Alligator mississippiensis: one gene and its partners. The protein of the gene in region 1 purifies or fractionates together with the protein of each later gene. This does not show direct contact. Links are inferred from orthologs where the notes say so. Each region holds a gene or a part of one and is shown in the gene's direction. Other genes may lie near its edges.

Region 1 (7,409 bases):
CACATCATCCCCATCTCCATCCCCAGTCAGCCTGACCAGCAAACACCTTCCATAAGGAAAATTTAGCAAGTTTGGGGATGGGAAGGGGTGGGGATGGCTGTGCAAGGTGTGGGATAGTCTGATATCGGGGTGATACGGCTGGGACGGGAACCCCCAGATCAGGATGTGGAGCAAGCTCCTGGTACACAACAGCTTAAGACATTCAAAATCCAGGTGGGAAGTAGGACGACATTGGTTTTAGGCCTGTATAGAAGGAGAGTTAGAAATGACGGGGACCTGGTACTAGCCCAGGGGAGCCTACATGGTGCACTTTGTCACGGGCACACGTGTGTTAACGCCTTGTGCAGCAGATCACAAGTGTGTTATGGCCGTGCCTTGAGACAAGAAACCTGGCTGAGCCTTTGCCACCGAACCGAGCCCGTGGTAATTTAAGAGAGGACTGGTGTTGGGATCTCCTGGCTGTGACGCAGCCCGAGACTTCGATAATGCCCGGTGAGGACAGCGATGAGCGAGCCCCTGCCTCTCCGAGCAAATTAGTCTCTGAGGTGCCACCCTGCCCTGCCTTCTGCTTGGCAAGCCGTGGCGCAAAACCAGCCCATGTTCCAGCAGGGCGTGTGTCTGTCCCTGCCCTTAGATGTGCCAGCACCACGGAGAGAAACCGGCCGGTGCCCGGAGCAGGGCCAGCTGTCTTGGTTCTCCCGCTGGGCACCTCTCCAGGCCAGGACCTGGCAGGATGCTTCCCTGTGGGGGCTCTTGTCCGGCCCGGCTTTCCTCGCCCCTGCACGCAGGGAGGAGAGGCCTGGCCCAGGCACCCTGCGGGGCAAGGCGTAGAGCTGGGGGGCGTCAGCTGTGAAACACTCGGCCAACACCCCGGGGCTGTTGTGCCAGGGCTCTGTGTGCGTAACGGTGCCACGGTGCCGGATGGAGGGCATCCGGGGGCAGTCTGCAGGGCAGCGTGCAGGGTCTCTCCATCCCGTGCGGGTGTGTGTCTGTGTGTCCCACGGATAGTGGGGGGGTGTCACTCCTACTGTTAGTGGGGTGTGTGTGTCACCCCCACTGATAATGTGGGGGGAATGTGTCACCCCCAGTGATGGTGGGTGGGTGGGTGTGTGTGTGGTTGTGGCTCTCAGGGACAGTGGCGTGTGTCTGTGTATGTTCCCACTGACAGTGCTGCACGGGGGTGTTAGTGTGTGCATCTCCCAGGGACCGTGGGGTGCGTGTGTGTCAGTCCCACTGATGGTGTGTGTGTGTGAAAGACACTCCCCTGCCCCACAGCTGGCTGGGCCGCCTGTGCTGCAGGGCAGGAGGTGTCGGCAAGTGCATCCTCCTCCACATTGCCCCCCGGTGCAGTGGCACTGCCAGGCCCCCATCACGCTGGGCACTGCCCGAACCCCAGGGCTGGCGGGGTGCTACGCTGAGCTGCTCCCAGCGTGAGCGAGGTGGTGGAGAGGACCCAGGCTCCCTGAACCCGTCCGCGAGGCCGTGTGGCACCTGGCTGGTGACGGCACCATGTGGGAGCGGCTTGGCTGGGACGTGGCGTGGGCTCGTGGGAACAGCCAGCAGGCACCTGGCAGCCTCGGGGAGCTGGCACGCACACGCCTGGTCTGCGCTGCCATCTGCCAGGCAGACAGCAGTGTGTCACAGCAGCGCCCATGGCTTGTCACGCCGAGAACGCGGCCCAGGGACAGCACCTGGCAGAGGGGAAGTAAGGGGCTTGCTGCTCCCCAGCTGGCTAGTGCCAGGGCATCCCGGCTGGGGGTGGCACCAAGCAGGACTGGTCTCAGTGCGGGAGACGACAGGACAAGGAGCAATGGGCACAAGCTGCAGCAAGGGAAGTTGAGGTTGGATATTAGGAAAAACTTCCTCACTAGGACGGTGGCGAAACCAGCTCTCCAGAGAGGCACCGACCTGCCTCGTCCCCAGCCCTGAGGACGATGACTCCAGGATACATCTGAGCACCCCGGCCCGGGGGAGTCTCTGCGCAAGGTCTTGCAGACTGTACCAGGCCCACGTCTGAACTCAGTCAGTTGAGTTTCCTTTGTCTCTCGTGGCCAGGGCTCTTCCAGACTCCACACCTTTCTTGCAGCTCTTCTCTGAGCCCCGCTCAGTTTATCCATATCCCTCCTGTGGGGCTGGTACCAGAACTGTGCCCCGGGTCTGACTGGTAATGGTCTCACCGATACCACATCCGCGCCCTTCCCCTGCTTGCACCTCAACGGCTTAATCTGTTCCTTGCTGCGCTGGCAGCCCCAGCGCTCCTTGCTTATGAATCACGGTCCCCAAATCCTTTTCAGTCGCTGCCCTCGAGGAAGCTGAACTACAGCCCTTGCTCCTGGATGTGCACGTGTGTTTGTCCATGTTCAGACAAGGAGCTCAGCTCCCCGAGCAATCCGGGTTGGGCTGCACAGCTGCCCAGTTACCATTTTTAAACATCAATTTACCTTGTCTCTAAGTTTAATGAGCTATTATTTTCTTCTGGAATAGGGTGAATGGGGGACTGATCTGTACAGGGCTGGACTAGCATCTCCCCACTGGGTGAAAATGATTTCCCAGCTACTTTTTAAGTCCACTGGTTTATAATCGAGGTACTGTGAGCTGCCTTGGAATCGCAGAGCAGGAGGGTGGAAGGGAGCTCAGGAGGTCACATCCAGTCCAACCCCGGCTCCAAGCAGGACCAGCCCCAGCTACATCATCCCAGCCAGGGCTTTGTCTACCCGGGTCTTCAACACCTCCAAGGATGGAGACTCCTCCACCTCTCTAGGGAGCCTGGTCCAGTGCTTCACCACCCTCCTTCTGAGAGAGTTTTCCTTTATATCCAACCTCAACTTCCCTTGCTGCAGCTTGAGCCCATTGCTCCTTGTCCTGTCGTCTGCCCCCATGGAGAACAGCCCAGCTCCATCCTCTTTGCACCCCCCTGCAGGGAGGTGAAGGCCGCCGTCAAATCCTCCCTCGGTCTTCTCTTCTGCAGACTCAATCAGCCCAGGTCCCTTGGCCTCTCCTCACCAGTCCTGTCCTCCAGCCCCCAACCATTTCCATTGCCCTCCACTGGACTCTCTCCAGTGTGTCCACAGCCTTTCTGTAGTAGGGCCACAGCTGGACACAGGACTCCAGATGTGGTCTCCCTGGTGCTGAATAGAGGGGAAGGAATCACTGCCCTCCATCTGCTGGCAGCGCTCCTACCGATGCAGCCCAGGACGCCGGTAGCCTTCTTGGCACCAAGGGCACACTGCTGGCTCCTGTCCAGCTTCTTGTCCCCTGTCCCCCCAGGGCCTTTTCTAAAAAGCTGCTGCCCAGCCCGTCACCCCAGCCTGCACCGGTGCAGGGGTGCAGGACTTTGCACTTGTCCTTGTTGAACCTCATGCGATTCCTCTTGGCCCAATCCTCCAGTGTGTCGAGGTCTCTCCGAATCCCAGCATTGCCCTCCAGCGTATCTACTGCTCCCCCCAGCTCGGTGTCGTCTGTGAACTTGCGGAGGGTGTGCCGCATCCCATCTTCCAGGTCACTGATGAAGATGTTGAAGGAACCCGGGCCCAGGACCGACCCCGGGGCGCTGCACTGGTGTCCGTCTGCCTCGACTCGGCACACGCTGGCTTTTCACACCCCGCACGGCTTGCCCTGCCCTGCGCCTTGCAGGAGTCGAACGCAGGAAGCTGCCAGTCTCTTTGCGAAGCCGACGCGTCCCCACAGACAGCGGCAGGAGTAGCCGCGCTTGCCGACGTGCCGTGACGTGTGCTCCCCGCCGTTGAGTGATGCCTGCCCGTGGCCCACAACTGCTCTTCCACCGTGTTGTGCAGAAGCGACATCCCTTGGCGCTGCCACCGCCCTGTCCCTGCTCCCCAGCGCAGGGCCGCAAGGCACAACCCCTTTGCCGTGTGTCTGAGCACCCTGGACAGCCGGTTCAGTGCCAGGGGCAAGGGCCATAAGCACCCTGGGTGCAAGAAGGGGTGCACACCCCTCAGCCTGTGCAAGCCCCTGCCCCTGCATGGCCCTGCTGCACCCCTGCCCTGGGCCCTCGAGCCCCTGCAGCACGTGTCTCCCTAGAAGGATCAGCAGGCCTGTCAATCATCGCGCCGCCTTCCCTCATTGGCTGACTCCCTGGGCAGCAGCCAATGGAGCGGGGCTCACTAGGCAGAATGACGAAAAGGGCGGCCCCCACGGGCCGATTTTTCCCATTGGCGCATTTTTCCCATTGGCCGATCCGCGCCGCGTTGCCGGGCAGAACAACGCACCTGGCTCCGCGCGCACCCATTGGCGGCGCGGGACCGGGAGCCGTTGGATGATTGGCTCTTTTTTCCCATTGGCGGAGGCGCCCCGGCCCCGAATTTCCGATTGGGCGCGGCCGCCGGTTGCTAGGCAGACTGCGGCGGGCGGAGCTTCCCCCGCCGATGAGTCGGCGCTGAGGCGCAGTCAGAGCCGAGCGCCCGCAGCTGCCGCCGCCAGAGCCCGAGCCCATCCCTGCCTGCCGCCGCCCGCCACCGCCGCCATGGCCTCGGGATCCGAGTGAGTGCAGGGCCACCCCTAGGCCTCTCCCCGCGCCCCATTCTGAGGGGCCCCCGCGCATGCGCACTGCCACGCGCACCCCGTTCTGAGGGGCCCCCGCGCATGCGTACTTCCCCCGCACCCCGTTCTAGGGGGCCCGCGCGCATGCGCACTCCCCCCTCCCTGCACCCCGTTCCGAGGGGCCCCGCGCATGCGTAGCGAGGGCCGAGGCCTGGGCCCGATCCCGCTGTGTCATGCAGGCCCGGGAGGGGGGGCGGGCCCGGCGCTGCTCCGCCCCCAGGTGGGGGAGGGGCGTGCGGCCTAGGCCTTGGCCTGGTGTGCGTGTCCCACGGCCTGAGCCTGCTCCTGCTTCCTGGGGGGTGCAAGGGATGGTTTTGGCCCACGCTGAAGCCACCCCCCTGCTCCAACTCATCCTCCTTTGTCTGCCGGGGCCTCAACCCCCCCAAGGGTGGAGCCTGCACCCCTCCTCGGGGGAAACCCCTTCCTCATTTAACCTCGACTTTCCTTGCTGCAGCCGAAGCCCATTGCTCCCCTGTCCTGTCCCGCGCCGCGCCGCGCTCTTTGCAGCCCCCCAGCAGGCTGCCGTTCGAGCCCCGCTTTGGTCCTCGGACTTCAATAAATGTTAGGGGTTCGCCCGGCCGGCGCCCCTAGACCAGCTTCGGGGGGGAAGCCGCGTCGCGTGCGCGGTGTTTGTGTAAATATAGCCTTCTCCGTGGAGCAGCGAACGGGCGCCCGGCGGGAGCGATGCGGTCGAATCGGTCGATGCGAAACGGTTTACCGGCACGGAGAGGTCGAAACTCGTGTCAGGTTCGTTACGGAAAGCCGGCCTCCGCCGGCTCGGATACGACGTTGTCCCGTCTCCGTTCGCCGGGCGACGTCGCTGTCAGGAGACCGGCCGACCGGCGCTGGAAACGTCTCTTGTGTCCCCCGCACGTGGTCGCGCTGCGAACCGTACCGCAGCGCAGCCTGGGTTGCGTCACCTACGGGGTAAAGCAACAGCTTTACCACGGGGCAGATGATCGGCGGCATCATCGTTAAGTCTTTTTTTTTTCCCCTTCTCTTTTTGGCAGACAGAGCTTCCCTTGTAAAGGAAGGGACGGGGGTCTCTGAATGGGGAAACGCGGGGTTTAGGGCTGGGACCGTTCTGCCCAGAGCTGGGATCGGGCACTGGTTGGACTGCGCCGCTCGGGGGGTTACGGCCGGACCCCTGGACGGCGCTAGGGAGAGGGATGGGCGCGTGCCGTGCGCGCTACGCTTCGGACCTACGCATCTCTAAAACCAAAACGGCACGCCTGTCGCAGGCCTCCACGAGAAAAGAAAGCGACGATTCGTGCGTCGGCACGGGGCTTTTTGGAGCTGTCAAGCTCTCGGTCCCTCTGATTCTCCTCTCTGGGTGAAGCAACGTTTTCACTTTCGCAAGAAGCCATGATGCGACCCGCCTGACTTCTCACTTCCTTTCTGTGCGCCCATTCATCCTCCACCGCATTTCTGAGCTGAGGTGGCTTGCAGCTGGCCCCGTTCGTCTGGATGAACACGTGCCAGCATTTGGCATCCTCTCCAACTGTTAGTGCACCCAAGCCTTTCGCTCGCTGTGTGAGCTGCCGTGCGCCCCGTAACCTGCTTCGTCTGGCTGGTAGCGTCTCTTCTCTCTGGATTGTGCAAGTTCAAAGTCCTTCAGTGTGAAAACTCTCTTCCTCTGATGAATTAGCTCATGTTGACTCAAGTTAGGTGTCACCTGCCAGCGTGTTGCTCAACCCCCGGTGCGCTGAATGATACTTGAGCCTTCTCACAATCCTTCCCAAGTTTTTCATTTCTCATCGCTGTCTTGTCTCTGAGCTTCAACTCGCTGCCTGTTTCCTTTTCTGTTTTTGTAACGTATACGCGATGCCGGCCCCACAGTACCAACCCCAGACCCCCGCAGCCAGCCTTTGTGTCCTAAGAGACAGGCTGTGATTTGCAGTGGTGCCTTGGGTTGCTCCAGTAGATCGAGTCGTATCAGAGGGTCCTCGAGTGTACGTGCTCTGTACAGGGGGGGCATGACTTGCATTCAGGACTCCTCCCTGGTTGGAGAGGACTGTATCCCTTCTGTTGCAGAACTTGTGCTGGCTTTGTTCCCTGCGGTGATGTCACTTCGCAGCGCTCTCCATTAGCCAGCCTGAGGCTTGCCATCGATCGCCTCAGTACCACAGCGAGCTTCTTTGGTTTCTGACTTACAGGATCTCTCTTGGCTCCATCAAGTTCGTGGCTCTAAAGTTTAGCCGCTCTGAACTTCCCATCCTCCAGAGGAGGTGTGGCTCATGGAGAGCCTGCATCTCATTAGCTCACCTGTTGCTTCACCTGATGAGCTTAGCTGGCTCCGTAGCTTGCACATCTTGGGTTTCTTGTTTCGCTGTGTTACGATGGTCAGGACTGCCTGGGTGGGCTGCTGCTGCAATCAGTCCCATCTACAGTCACAACCAGCAGCCTCCCTATTTCTAATGAACGTCTGTCTGGGAATCGTGTGTGGCAGGTTCAGAGCAGCGCGTTGACACTCCTCCCTTACCTGGAGAGTTGAGAGGAGCAATCCAGTTATGAAGGAGCCGAAACACGCTCTGGGAAAAGTGACTTGTCCAGAGCTGCCCACACAGAGGCTCCTGCTTCCTGGTTCAGTAGGGTTTTTCCTTTTAGAATAGCTCTGCCCCTTTCTCCTTGCTGAGTCCTGCCTCTTACTTCCTAATGCTTTGCTCAGGCCAGCTTCCCAAACTGTTTCTAGATGGGCCAGCTGCCTTCATGTTCATCCTGTGAGAGTCTTTCTGAAGCATCAGGGTAGGGGGTCACTACCTCATTCGTTATCTGCTTCATCATCGCATTGGTGTGACTCTCCGGAGACCTCGCACCTGTCTGTCGCAGTAAAATATCTCCAAAAGAGC
Region 2 (7,785 bases), on another chromosome or scaffold:
GGTGTTATACCTACAAAAATGTGTTGTGTGTCTGCACCCAAAATTTACCACATTATTTCAGTAAGGCAGAGGCTCGAGGAAAACAGCTAATAAGGTTTACATTAATGTAAGATAGGGCAAGGTAGGGCAGGGTGGCACCTTAGAGACTGATTTATTCAGAAAGGCATAAGCTTTAATAGGCAACAGCCTACTTCATCAGATGCTGTTACCTATGAAAGCTCATGCCTTCCTGAGTGTGTTATTCTCCAAGAGGTCCTATATATGTGCAGGGAGGCTGCTCTGATGTGCTGTAATTCCAGCACGTTGGAGCAAATTCCATTAATCAAGTCTGCTGGAGCAAGGAGATTACCTACCAGCAGGCTCCAGAGTCATGTGTATCAGCGTCTCTGTGCTGAAAAATGGCAGCAGGACGCTTTAAACTAAAGCTCATTTGACGAGCTTTAGTTCAAAGCTCCCTGCTGCTATTTTTCAGTGGGGGGACACTGATACATGTGATGTTCCAGGTACTTTTAATTAGTGTGGCTCTTGGAGCTGCGCTAATTAAAGTGCCCCTCCCTGCCACCTCCTAGAGCCCTACCCATGTCTATAAACACTCTAAGGATGAAGTTACATGCTACTCCTAGGCCATACTAAATCTGTGCAATGTTAAGTGTTATTAGTTAGAACATGCCATGAGCAGTCGCATGTCAAAGTTTAATACTGTTTCTTGTCTGCACAGCTTTTCTTTCCCTGCCCCTAGAGTGCTGACAATCAGGAGTGTGGCTATGAGCCAGGACACCTGGGCTCCATCCCTGCTGTGGACGGAGGGGGCGCTGGGAGCATCCTAGGATGCTGGAGGACTGCAAATTGGTTGTTTTATCTCTGTGGAGCAGACTGAAGTTACCCTCACATGAGCTGGGTAGCACATCCAACCCCTTACCTGAAGTGGAGGAACTCTGAGGCACTCAGAGGGCACATAGCACAAGTTAGTCATATAGTCATAAAGAAGGAGGGCTGGATGGGACCTCTAGAGGTCACCTAGTGCAACCCCCTGCCTGAGGCAGGATCATAGATATCCAAGCCATCCTGTACAATCTATCATCTAAACTCTACATAAAAGGCTACCATCAACCCTGACACAACACAGACCTAGCACCCTATCCTGCCACAGATAAAGCAGGGGAACCACAGCAGCCAACATCCTGCTTCTATGAAATGTTGCCAATATACCCTCGAGAGCTCCCAGGTAGAGGGCCACGCTGCTCACTACAGAGGAAGGCAAAAACTCCCGCAGTCCATACCAATCTGACCGTGGGGTAAAATTCCTTCTGACCCCAAATATGGTGATCAGTCTGACCCTGAGCAGAGGGGCAACCCCCCCCCCCCGCCGGGAACCTCTGTCTTCGCTCCCAGAAGGAGCATTGACACATCCTAGTCAAAGTCCCCAACCTTGGCTGTAGCCAACACCCAGTGCCTCCAAGGGAGACTTAAAAACAGCAGACAAGGGAAGCAGGGGGGCAACCAGCAAAGCCCAGAAGCATGGGTAATACTCATGGTAAGCTGTAGGCATATATAAGCCTAGAAAGTTACTGAGGTTTAACCGGCAGATGCTTACATTTGAGGTGCCCTTAGTACAGTCTAAGCTGTCGAGCTTCTACCTAGTCCACTGGGCTCCTGGAGGGCACTAGAAATGTGATCAGTTAAGCCCCGCTGGGCACATGGCCACTGGCACTGAGCATGGCTTGCCTCAGCAGGACCCTCCGCCCCTGCCTCCCTCATGCTGCTGCTGCCTCTGGGCATCACATCACTGCCAGTGCTGCGGCTGCCCTCCTGCACAGCTTGGATCCAACCCACCAGCAGTGTTGGATTGAGATTTATTGGAGCCCTGGGCAAATAGAAAATTGGAGGCCCCCCACACCCATTATAACCATGAATGTATGGACTCCAGTGGGAGGAGGGGCCCCTTCCTGTCCTGCAGCTGCCACTGCGAAGGGCAGGCCAGGACTCCATGCCCCACCGGGGAGGCTGGATAGACCTGGTCCAGGATGGGGGTGAGGTGGCACATGCTTACCTCTCTTCCCTGCTCCCTGCCCCCCTGCCGCATCCACAGCACATCTGAGCAGGGCAAGGGCAGATGTGGGCTGCTTGCTGTGGGCTTGGGGCTCTCAGCTCTGTTGCCTCTAACCTGGGAGCCCTGCACCAGCTGTGTGCCCCCTGCCCATCCAGCAGCAGGGGGCATAACTCGTTGCCCCCACTGCTGCTGGGTGGGCAGGGGGTGCACGGCCACTGCAAGGCTTCCAAGGAAAAGGCAGCAGAGTGGAGAGCCCCAAGCCCACAGCAAGCAGCCCACATTTGCCACGTGCACAAACATGAGGGAGCACATGCTCTCCATGCCACCACCAGTGGGTGCATGCCGCAGCAGGGAGCTGTCCCCCCTCCCTCTCCGTGCCCCCTGGATGAGCCACGCATGGCTCCATTCTGCTCTCTGCAACACCTCAGAATCCATGCACCACCATGGCTGGGCAGCATGGGTGCCTCCCCCACTGGGGGGGAAGGGTCCCAGGGATGCACTTCTGGTTTCATGGCTGGTGCTTCAAGGGGTGCATGGCCAATCTCAGAGGGTGCACCCCCTATGCATCGCCAATGCTGGGCAGTGCCCCCAGCTCCTGCCCCACTCCCTCTCTCATCATGGGGACCTCGATCTGCACCACCTGCACCCCTTCCCTCTCCCATACCCTTTCCTCACTTACCTGCAGGGAGTTGCTCTCCATGCTACCGGGCTGCATTCCTGGCCATGTGCATGCATGTGGCCGCACACACATGCATGCAGTGCCCCCTGCGTCTCACTCTTGGCAGCCCCAAGCAGGACCCCTTGCAGGCTAGAACGCTGCCCATGTGCTTAGGGAAACCCACTGTTTCCCAAGAGAACCCAGGCATCAAGGGACCCCTGATTAGCAGAGGCCCCTGGGGCTGGGCCCTGCAGGCCTGCATTAATCTGCCTATGCCCACAAGGTGCCCCATGGGCTGAATCCTGTTGGTGGCCTTGAGGCGAGGGTGACACCCCTGCTCTAAGGATATTGTAATGGGTTTTTCTCTGTGACAGTACAGGATAGGATGAGGAGCAGTGGCTGCAAGCTGCAGCAGGGGAAGATTAGGTTGGAGATGGCGGGATGGTCTCTGACTAGGAGGCTGATAAAGCATTGGCATGGACTTCCTAAAGAAACTATGGACTCTCCATCCTTAAACGTTTTCAAGAGCAGGTCAGACAGACACTTTTCTGGGATGGTTTAGTCAGGGATGAACCTGCCTCCAGCAGGTAACTAGACCCATTTTGTGGGGGTCTCTTCCAGCCCTGCTTCCCTATGATGCCATAACCTCCACCCTGCCCCTTCAGGCTCCCCGCCTCTCTCTCTAGGGACTCCCTAGAGGGTTCAGGACCCTTTCATATATTCCTGCGATCTACTTTTGGGTCATTACCCATGGATTGAGAAACGCTGCACTACATGACCTCTTGAGATGCTGTCCGGCTCTACTTCTCTATTATGTATTCTGTGGTATGTATTATCTATTATGTACTATGTATTATGTATTCTGTACTATTCTGTACTATCCATTTTGTATTCTGTACTACGTATTATGTAGTGTGTACTGTATTATGTATTTTGTACTATGTACTATGTATAATATATTCTGTATTCTGTATGTGTATAATATATTCTGTAACTATGTATAATGTGCTATATTATCTATACTGTACTAGTCTGTACTATGTATTCTGTACTACATATTATGTACTATGTACTGTATTATGTATTTTTTACTATGTACTATGTATTCTGTAACTATGTATAATGTACTATGTATTAAGTATTCTGTACTATTATGTACTATGTATTCTGTACTTTGTATTAATCAGTCAGGACTCCTGGTAGAGATGATATCTTTTATTAGACCAACACTAATCTTTGTATTATGTATTCTGTACTATTCTATACTATGTACTATGTACAGGCAACCCCCGCTTAGTGCTCTTAATTGGTTCCTGAAAATCCAAGCAATAAGCGAAACAAATGCTAAGCGACACCGAAAGTATTTGATGACCCAAGATGGCGACTGCATTTGTTTTTAATGACCCAAGATGGCGACCACGAGTGTTATTGCAAAACTTGATGAGTGCTAAGTGAAACCAGGTATCAATTTAAAATGAGTGTTATAGTAAAAGAGTGCTAAGCAAAACAGCATTCAGCGGGGGTTGCCTGTATTTTGTACTATGTGTTACATATTCTGTACTATGTATTCTATACCATTATGTACTATGTATTCTGTACTGTTACGTACTATGTATTATGTATAATGTACTGTGTATTCTGTACTATGTATAATGCAACTATGTATTCTGTACTACTATGTACTATGGATTCTGTACTATTCTGTACTATGTATTATGCATAATGTCCTATGTATTCTGTGTTCCGTACTATAATGCACTAAGTAGAGCCGGACACAACGCGAAATAGAGGATGAGAATTACAGGGCAGGAATTACAGGGCTAACCAGGAAGCGCAAGTGGGGCACCTGCATGTGCCAGCAGCACTGCTGGAAAAATTCTCTGTACCCCGCACCGTGCCCCCCGCAGTCCCCGCGCCCGGCTCCGCACTGTCTGTGACTAACCCCCGGGGTTAGAGGCGCGGGCGGCCCGCGGGGCAGTGCTGGGCGGTGCCAGGCCGCGGCGGCTCCAGGGCGCCAGGTGGCGCCGTGCCCGGTGCCGGTCGGGGTGCGGGTCCCGGCGCGGGGCGGGGCGGCGCGGCGCGGGCGCTGCTCGCTCGCTGGCTCGGTGGAGCGAGCGGGCGGGGGGCAGCGGCATGGGGCTGTGCCTGCCCTGTCTAGGGGGCGCCGCCGAGGACGTGGTGGAGACGCCCGACCCGGTAAGTGCGGGGCAGGGTCCGGGCCTCGGTCCCCGCCTCTCGCCGCTGTTTATTATTTCGTGCCCCCTCCCCTCCCCCCCCATGTCAGGTGATCCCGCCCGGCTCATCCGGCCCGGCGGGACCCCCCCCCGCCCCCTCCCTCAGCGGCGGGGACCCCCCGCGCGCCTCACCTCCGTGTGGGGGTCCTGGAGGTCATTCCGCGCTGGGAAGCTGAAGGCTGTGACTCAACACGTGGCCTTGCAGGGGAGGCTGAGGGGACGGGGCTTGGTTTCAGCCCGACTGAGAGAAGCGGGGACTTGGTAGCAGCCTGCCCCTGCCTGAAGGGTGGCTGCACAGATGGGGCTGCGCCGGCTGTCTCCCTGGTGGCAGGTGACAGGGCGAGGAGCAGTGTCTCCAGTGGCAGCCAGGGGAGCTGAGGTTAGAGATATTCATCCAAAACGAGGGTGGGAAGGGACCTCGGGGGGCTCATCTAGTCAGCCCCCTGCTCAGAGCAGGACCAGCCCCAACTGGATCATCCCAGCCAAGCTTTGTCCAGCTGGGTCTTAAAAACAAGCGGGCACCTGTGCTCCTGTGCTGAATTAATCTGCTTCTCCCCTTAACCACCTTCCTGATCTCCCCGCTCCTGCCGCCCTTCCAAAAAAATAAATAAAGATCTGCTGACACCCTGGGGAGACACTTGGGTTGTGAATGACTGGAGGTCTGTCTTTCTGGGGGGGGGGTGTTTCATGTCAAGGACCCATGTTGGCAGGGGCACTAGGAATCAAAAGCTAGTGGGGGGACAGGTGTGGAAAAAGAAAGACAAGGAGGGCTCTGAGACTGTTCGCAGACCCAGGTAAGAGCGAATCAGCTGCAACAAGTCACAGGAAATTAGGGTTGGGAGGGACCTCTGGAGGTCCATCTAGTCCAACCTCCTGCTCAAAGCAGGACCATCCCCAACTAGATCATCCCAGCTGAGACTTTGTCCAGCCCAGTCTTAAAAACCTCCAGGGATGCAGAGTCCACCACTCACTAGCTTTTGATTCCTACTTCCCCTGCCAACATGGGATCCTTGACATGAAACATCTTCCCTAGAAAGCAGATGAATTAAGCAGAGGAGCACAGGTGCAGGATTATCCCAAGTGGGGTGAGCCCCCATCCCCTCTGCCAGTCCCCTCTGCAAGGAGGCAAACATGGTAAGCAATTAACTGTTTTGTGAAATGATGTGCCATTAGGGTTGCTGACAGACATGAAAAAAAAAATAGCGCTTTACCAGAAGAGGAAGCACATTAGTTTGACCTGGCTGCCCAGCCTCTGTATAGATCAGGCGTATCAGTGAGGCTTTTTGGCATTTTTATCTAAAGCTGGTTCAATCAGCTATTCACTAAAAGCACCAAAAAGCCCCACTGGAGCTCCTGATCTATACAGATGTTGGGTGAGCCAGGTCAAACTAATGAAATACCTCTTCTGGGCATGAGCTGTGCTTGGTGCAGGGGTGTACCAACCTTAATGTGCTCATTTTATTTTTTTTCATGTCTGTAAGAAGCCGCAGTTCACATAAGTTGCAGAGTCATAGAGAAGTCATAGGCCCCCTCCACACATGCAGGTAAAAATACGATGGGATCTAAGGCATGATACACACAAGCGCACCTCTTGTCATGCTGCACGTGCATGGCAGCAGGCACGATTAGGGGATCGTACATTAAATCCCATCGCGCCTTATTGCTGGAGGCAACCTTTTGCTGCTGGGTGTCCCCTCAGTTGGGGGGCTTCCAGCCATGGGGGATCACAGCAGCTGCAATCTTCAAGGCATAAGGGTGTGTGAATCCCTGCCACAATTCCTAGGGCTCAGGGGTGTGTGAAACTCCCAGGCCCTAGGGTTCACGGCTGTCGTGATCCCCCAGGACCCTGGGGTGTAGGTATATACATATACTAGGTATGGTGCACTTCTGCGGTCAGGAGGCCTGTCAGCTGATGGGGCTCCCAGCCACAAGGAAGAGAGACCCTGCTACAAGTGCAAATAAAAGTTCAGTAGCAACCAGCTATAAAGTTAGTACGCATTTTCAAGATCTAACTTTATAACTGGTTGGAACTTTTTTCTGTGTAATTAATACTTTACACGTGTAGTTGGCCTTAAGGTAATTGTGTAATTAACCATTTAATCGTGCAATACCTGTAATGTGTAGAGGGTGTTATATAGAAGTAAGACTGGAAGGGTCCTCCAAGGATGGCTTGAGTCCAAAAAGGTTGATAACTGCTGTTAGTTGTTATTCCACTTAAAAATAGTTGGTGGGAAAGTACATCTTGCTCCCTCCTCTCCTCCCTCCCTCCCTCCAGACCCCCAATTTCATCTTGAGTTTCATGGGACATGTATCAGTCACTTGAGCTCATGCTACAAACCTTTCATATGTTTTTGCCATCAACATCTATGATTCTTGATGGGGAGATGATAAAAATCCTGGAGGTTGAAAAAAACTAAAATGTTTCCTAACTGAAAAATAGATATTTAAGAAAAAAATCCATTTATACATGTACTTTACCATTAAATAGATTTTCTTAAATTGGTCAGTTTAAGGGAACCTCCCTTTAAATATTTGTTGTTAAAGCTTAGAAAGCTGTTACTATTATTTTAAACTGTTGGCAAATGTGCTATGGTCCTTTGCTCCATACTTTTCTTTCATTTATTGTATGATTGCAACCTCACATCATAAATCAAACAGAACAAAACCAGTGGAGTAGATCTGATCTGCTCAAAAGTACCTACTGCAGGATGAACATTTTGGAGGGATGACTTTTCAAGGAGAGGGTATTTGTGTCTATTTTTCGGTTGCTCTGTGAGACACCTGCTACATAGAAGCCTTACTGAAATTAAGTCATTTCACATGAGGCATCAGAGATCCATCAA
Region 3 (6,888 bases), on another chromosome or scaffold:
TTTCATCAGTGAAACTGTTGTTGGGGGACGTTGCCATTTTCTGCAAAGAAAAATTAGCTCATTTAAAAATATTTAATTTTAAAGTGGCTTTTTAATAACTGTAGTTCAGCATGCATTCGATCCATATGAATTATGTATTGTTATTAAAACAAGGTTCGTGTAGCAATGTAAATGTAAGAAAGGACTTGGCAGAAAAGGGTCTGATTCTGAAAAGGATGCTCCCTATCCTCCACCAAGACCACAGGGAATTGACGATGCTCTGCACTGCACATGGTTTGACTCAGAGTACAAAGGCCCAATCCTGAACACACACGAACAACTTTCACATGTGTGAGTGGTCCCATTGACTTCCATGATTGCAGGACAGAGCCCTCAAAGACTGTTTCTGCACAGTGCTCAGCCCCGCCATTACCTATGGAAATCCGTAAGTCAAAAGGACTCAGAACCTCAAAAAAGATGCTCAAACCTTGAATGATAACCCCAAGGGAGACAAAATGATAATTTGTTGTTGTTATTATTATTATTAACAACAACAATAATATAGTCCATGTTCCAGGTCAAATCAGCCAGATCAGTTCCAAATTATATCAATTGAGCAGAACTCAGTAGTTCCAAAAACCATATAGATTGAGCAGGCAGAACCCAATCATTCTAAACACCATGTACAGAGCTACAGCCAGCAAGCATCCTCTATCCCTGACTCTCACCCCAGGACTTCAGATACTCTCAAATCCATGGGCAGGCATCCTACGCGCAGGCCCAAGCCCAGAGATCCTGGGATTCAGATGTCCCCATTTGATCTTAGTCCACAAGAGGTTGAGGCACTTGACCTGAGCCAAAAAGCTGAGAAGCAAGAGAAAATTATAAGTTTTGTTGTTAAAAATGTGTCATATAATATATATATATATATATATATAGGTTTTATATGTACAGGTTTTTACACACACACACACACACCTTCTAGTCACTGTTCATTACCTACTTAACTGACCAGAGGAACACCTGCGCACCCGATACAATATACGTGCCCATGGAAAATGCTGAAATACTACAAGAAGATCTAGAGACATTACTGGCAAGACAAAATGGGAAGGATTCCCTGGAAGTATAGGGCCTCTTCTGGCATACCTCTGTTGAGTTAAGGCAAGTTAGCATGTCAAAACTTGGCCCTCTGAATTAAAGCAGGGACAGTTAGGGAAGGCATACAGTAGGCAAGAATAAAGAAGCTGTTCCAAGGGAAGGAGCAGCATGAAAACAGCTGTAAACTTATGAATGGAGTCACACAAATCAATCTGGAGTAACCTCACTCTCTTTGAGGGGGTTACTTTGGATTGATACCAGTAGGATGGAGATTAGCATTTGGCTCAGGTGCATTCATTACCATAAGCAGTCACTTGGGAAAGTATAAAGTCGCATTTTATAATTGGCAAATGCCTGTGCTACAGATGGTCCATATCTATACTACTGCAAAGGCTTTTTCCTTATTGGCTTCTTTCCTATTGTACACCATGTACAAGTGCCCAAGGTGTGCTGAGATGGCACGTCTCCTGCTTTATCACCACAGTGAATCTGAACTTTGCCCTAGCCTGACCAAGATAATGAGCTGTTATGATTATTATATAACTGTCAGTGTGAGGCATCCAGCATTCACAAGAGAAAGGAGCAGGAGAGGCGGGAATTGAGCTGACACAGTCATCCCTGTAAATTAAACTCAGAATAAATAAACCAATTAAACAATATTCAATCAGAGATGCAAAGAAGTGAGCAAGAGTAGAGGCCAGCACAGGCCAACTCCCTGCAAATGTAATTTTTTTTTTTCCAATCTCTGGGCTGATTTTAACTGTGTATGCCTCTGCCTTGCAATTTTGTTGCTGCTGCATGCAGAATAAAACAAGAAATCCCTGCAATAAACCTAACTTATCTAAAAACGAGCACGTTGATTGCTGTGGTCGTCTCCAGAGGATTTCTGAGCACCTTGCAGGCATCCTGCAAATGCTGACAGCTCCACGATGAGGTTCATGGGCATAAAGTTACTCACATGTATAAAGGTTTGTCTGCACAAGGGAAGCTACTGTGAAATCAGCCAGGGTGAGAATTTAAAAGTATGGAGGCTATTCTGCACAAAGGCTCTTTTAGCTTCAAATAAAAGTGTTCACACAGAAGGGCTCATGTGGAATAGCTCTGTCTGGGGAGTGCTTGCATGTGGTTTAGCTCAGTTCACTAAGTGCACAAATCCACTACCCCGCGCAGGGAGTGAATGCAGAATAACGACCGGATTTCAAGTGCCAGCCCAACTTGATTTCACTACAGTTTCCCCAAGAAAGGCAAGCCCCAGCACGACGAACTCTAAGTGAGTCGGCATGGGCAGCTGTTTTGTAGGGCTGTGCAAAGCTTTGTTTCCCAATTCAATTCAGAGGAAATTCGGCCCGATTCAGCAGTCGAATCTCAGAATCCGAATCAAATCAGAGGACTCTTTAATGTCTCTGAATCCAATTGGGACCCTCTGCATTGATTCAAACAGACAACTTTAAATGTTTTTTCTACATACGTGTAGGTGGCAGGTGGCTCGTGAACGCTGTGATGCTGGGGCGTCCTACAGGAGCGTGGGGGGCTCCCCAGCACACTCAGAAGTGGACCAGAAGTGCTTCTGGTTCACTTCCGGTCCTGCTGGGGAGTGTGCTGGGGCCCCCCCACGCCCCCACGGCGTGCACCCAGGGGCCTCCCATGGCCGATTGCCGAGTCGGGGAGGATGCGGGGGGGCTTCTGGCCCACTTCCGGGTTCACTGTTGAGCACGTGGGGGCCCAACTCCCGTGGGACACTCCACGCGCCCCAGCATCGCAGCGATCACGAGCTGCCTGCTACCTCGAGGCACCTAGAAAAAACATTTAAAGCTGTCTGTATGTTCGAATTGACTCGGAGGGTCCCACCTTGATTGGGAGAGATTAAAGGGTTCTCCGATTCGATTCGGATTCTGAGATTCGGCCACCGAATCGGGTCGAATCTCCTCTAAATCGAATCAGCTGCGTCTATGTCCGAATCGCCGATTCTCCAAATCAGCATTGAATCTTCAGATTCGGATGAATCGAATCCGGGAAAGCAATACGCGTCAAAGAATCGAATCGCCGACCCCCGATTCGGACTGAATCCGAATCGACTAGGCCCCGCTTCGCGCTCCCCTGCTGTTTCACAATTGATTTTTTTTAGGTGGTTTCTCCCCTTGGACAAGTCCTGCTGGCTGGCGGGGGCTGGGCTGTATCACCGAACTCAGCTCCAGACTGCGCCCGTCCCGTCGATACACCCATTTCACAGATGCAACCGCCAACCCCCCAGTCCCGCAACAAGCGCCATCATCCAACCCCGGCTGCTTTTCCCTGCCCAGGTTGGGGCTGTGGAGTCAAATAGTATCAGTGAATCTATACACCCCCACCCCTGTCCCAGGGTGGGGGTCCTGGGTGGCCGGGGGCTGGAGAAGGAAGGGGGTAGGACGTGCAATGTCCACTGGGAGCTGCTCCAGGGGCACATCCAGCTGTTGGAAGCAGGGGTCCACTGTGAGAGACAGGCCTTCCACCCTCCTCCACTTCCTCCTTAATGGCTCAGTTTAACCCGCGCTAAACTGACCCGCTCCAACTCCCAGGCGTGTCCAGCCGGGAGGGCTATTGCACGAAGCCGCAGTTGTCACCCCACACCAGTGCAGGATGCAAGGAACGGAGCAAAACCGACACACTCCGCCTCTTACACCCGCCCTGAGGCGACTGCTGGGCGGCCCTAGTCCCTCCGCCCCTCGCCCCGCCCCTCTGGCGGAAGGATCCGGTGCTTCGGACGCTCTTCCCGCCGCTCTGCCTATAAAGGCGTCCCGGCCGGGCGGCGCTGCGCCTGGGATCCGTGCGCCGCCACAGCTAGCTGAGGAGACGGCGGCCATTTTGTTCGGCGCCGGCGCTGCGCGGGGCGAGCAGGGGACGCTCGGGGGCCATGGCAGATATCGACAAGCTCAACATCGACAGCATCATCCAACGGCTGCTGGAGGGTGAGGAGGAGGAAGGGGGTGGTTCCCGCGCGCGTTCCTGCCCCCTCCCCCACCCTCAGGGGACCCAAATATTGGGGTGTGAGGCGCGCCGCTGGGCCCCTGCCGCAGCTCGGGGCTCGTGTGGCACGGCACGGCACGGCACGGCACTGCGCGTGCGGGGAAGGAGCCGCGTGTCCCGCCGCCCGGCCCGCCGGGGTTTAACTTCCCCCTTCCCCCCCCCTTGCGCTGCCAAAAGTCCCCGAGGGTTTGGAGCCAGGTGGGAGAAACCTGCCCCCCGGGCTGCCCTCTCTTGCTGCTTTGCAGCATTTCTCTGGAAATAAACGACCTGCGTGATGCAAAAGCGGGGTGGGGGTGCTGTAGGGACAAAGAATAAGAAATACATCCGTCTTGGGGGTCTTCCCCCCTCCTCCGTGCCAGTGCTGGGGGGCTGCAGTAGGTCTCTGACTCTTGACTGAGCCCCAAACGGACCCGGGAAAGGGCAGCAAGTCGTTCAGAAGTTGTTTTGCGCGCGAGTCTTGATTATCGTTCGTGTTTGGCCGCGTTTTCCTCGCCCGAAACGTCCGTGGTGGTGGGCGTCTTGGAAAAGCCAGTCGTATTGAACTAGTAACGCGTCTCGTCGCTGGCTGGGCTGTCCACGGGAAGGTTGCTCTCTCCGCGAGCTCGCTAACAAGATGCCTCAATAGAGCCGCCGAACTTGAACCCTGTATTCCTGCCGTTCCAGCGGTCGTAACTAGAGTTGTTTCGGGTAACCCTCGACTCTTTGCTAAGGCTCGAAATAGTATTTTCGTGGACGGTGGGGCTGGAAGGGACCTCGTAATATTGCTGGGTCCAGCCCTCTGTCCCGGGGCAGGAAGTCGGTCGGGGTCACAGGATCCCAGCAAGATCAGCGTCCAAATGTTTCTTGACCCCAGGGCCAGCAAGTTAGCTAGGGGTCAAAGGATCCCAGCAAGGTAAATGTCCAAATGTTTCTTGACCCCCCAGCGGTAGGAAGCTGGCTGGGGGGGGTCAAAGGATCCCAGCAAGATCAGCGTCCAAATGTTTCTTGACCCCCAGCGGTAGGAAGCTGGCTGGGGGGGGGTCAAAGGATCCCAGCAAGATCAGCGTCCAAATATTTCTTGACCCCAGGGCCAGGAAGTCAGCTGGGGGTCAAAGGATCCCAGCAAGGTAAATGTCCAAATATTTCTTGACCCCCAGCTGACTTCCTGCCTCATGGGTCAAAGGATCCCACCAAGATCAGTGTCCAAATGTTCCTTGGATGTCTTGAATAGCCTTGTTGTTACTGTCTCCAAGTATGAACAGAAATATGAATGCTTATAAATATTAATGGCAGTTCTCACATCAACTAGTGTTATAGACTTCCTAGACGTTCGGGCTGGAAGGGACCTCGTATAAGATGAGGTGCAGGCCCCTCTTGATGGTTGTTTAGTATATTGCATATTAACACCCACTTGTGTTATAAGCTACACAGCAATTACTTGTCATGGCTTGATTGCTGTTCCGTGCATAACCTCAATAACATGGGATTCTTGTTTGTATTTATTATGTTTTTTACAAATGGAGAACCAAAAGACCTCTTTTTGAATTTGGTCAAGTAGCATTTGTTTTAAATGCAAGGAAAAAAACTGATTTTTTTTTTTTTTAGAATCGGGATGGGACCTGTAAGATCCTCAAGTCCGGTCCCTTGCCACAGGCAGGAGGTTATTGGGCTCAAACAAGCTCCAGCAAGTGCTTATATTGAAGGGTCTTGTTAGCAAGCTCTTACAGACCGTTTTGAGAGAGCAACCTTCACACTCCGACCTCCCCAAAGGCCCAACCAGCAAATTATGTAGATTTACAAGGTAAATTGTGTTTTGCAAAATACACTGTGTCTATAGTTTTGATTGTCCCCCCCTCCCCATAAATTTAGAGAGGAGCATGGGCATTGCTTTGTAGTTGACAAACTTTTTTTTTATACTTTAAGTTCAACTTTTTTAAAAGTTGATGTAAATACTCTTTATACTCTGTTTCTTTCAGTGGCTATTTCTTAATTTGTTTTTATCACATCCTTCCCCACTTCCTCTTCAAAAACAATCTTTGTTCTCAGAGCAAATTCCTCCTCCAATTATAACTATAGTTTTGGTAGCATGACTGAACTTTCACGCAACTGCTAGTTTTCATTTGGGTGTACACACTATGGTACACCCCAAAATTGGATTTCCTTAGATGTGTGTGCCTTCAGAGTGGGTTCTCCCTTAACTAAATGTCATAGTCCATCACCGTGAATGCTACAAAGCACTCTGTTTAGTAACAAGACATTTCACATGTTTGATCCCAGACAACATACTCATGCATTCTTGTAGGCAATCGGTAGTGATTCTAGATAAATCTGTTAATAAACTTTAAAGATATGAATGGGGTAGTTTGAAGCTAAACATCTTTCTTTAACAGCTAATTAAACCTAAAGTTGGTGAAGAAACTTCATGGCACTCTTCACATCAAAGTGCTGGGCCATAAAACATTGTTTTTGGTATTTATGATACACTTTAGGTCTCAGACAAATAGCGTAAGACTAGAGTAACATAACTAGGACACATTTACTTTAATTGTTAAAGCACAGTAAAACGACTAAGTGGAAGATGAAAACTGGGAGTAACCTACTATTTTAAAAATAATATTTGCCAATAATGTAGCTGTTATTTCTGTCTCAAGAAACAAACCCCAGCTTTTGTCATGATAGCTTTTTTATGAAAATCTAGATTGTAACACTAGTTGAATTTAGTTATGCAGTTTTCTATGATGCCTGCGTAATCTTGGATCAGATTATATTTGCACATTCAAAATATACAAGATTGACAAAAACAGAAACGTACTTTGTCTAACATTC

What was found. Proteins that work in one complex are often made in the same cells at the same time.
Region 2: the proteins of VCP (region 1) and SVIP purify together in Homo sapiens (affinity purification with western blotting; 3 studies listed by BioGRID and IntAct, with this or other methods). This does not show direct contact. The link is inferred for Alligator mississippiensis from reciprocal best matches to the Homo sapiens genes VCP and SVIP.
Region 3: the proteins of VCP (region 1) and PPP1CC purify together in Homo sapiens (affinity purification with western blotting; 3 studies listed by BioGRID, with this or other methods). This does not show direct contact. The link is inferred for Alligator mississippiensis from reciprocal best matches to the Homo sapiens genes VCP and PPP1CC.

The regions. Positions count from the first base shown.
Region 1 is NC_081826.1:300,918,642-300,926,050, reverse strand, and holds the start of VCP (transitional endoplasmic reticulum ATPase), read left to right. Parts: upstream 1-4,388; 5' UTR 4,389-4,483; coding exon 4,484-4,500; intron 4,501-7,409. UniProt on the Homo sapiens protein: Necessary for the fragmentation of Golgi stacks during mitosis and for their reassembly after mitosis. Involved in the formation of the transitional endoplasmic reticulum (tER).
Region 2 is NC_081825.1:211,470,331-211,478,115, forward strand, and holds the start of SVIP (small VCP/p97-interacting protein), read left to right. Parts: upstream 1-4,779; 5' UTR 4,780-4,841; coding exon 4,842-4,904; intron 4,905-7,785. UniProt on the Homo sapiens protein: Negative regulator of the ER-associated degradation pathway (ERAD) of misfolded proteins. It competes with AMFR/gp78 for binding VCP/p97, and inhibits AMFR/gp78-VCP/p97 complex formation that is required for degradation of ERAD substrates.
Region 3 is NC_081833.1:3,270,207-3,277,094, reverse strand, and holds the start of PPP1CC (serine/threonine-protein phosphatase PP1-gamma catalytic subunit), read left to right. Parts: upstream 1-3,882; 5' UTR 3,883-3,970; coding exon 3,971-4,025; intron 4,026-6,888. UniProt on the Homo sapiens protein: Protein phosphatase that associates with over 200 regulatory proteins to form highly specific holoenzymes which dephosphorylate hundreds of biological targets.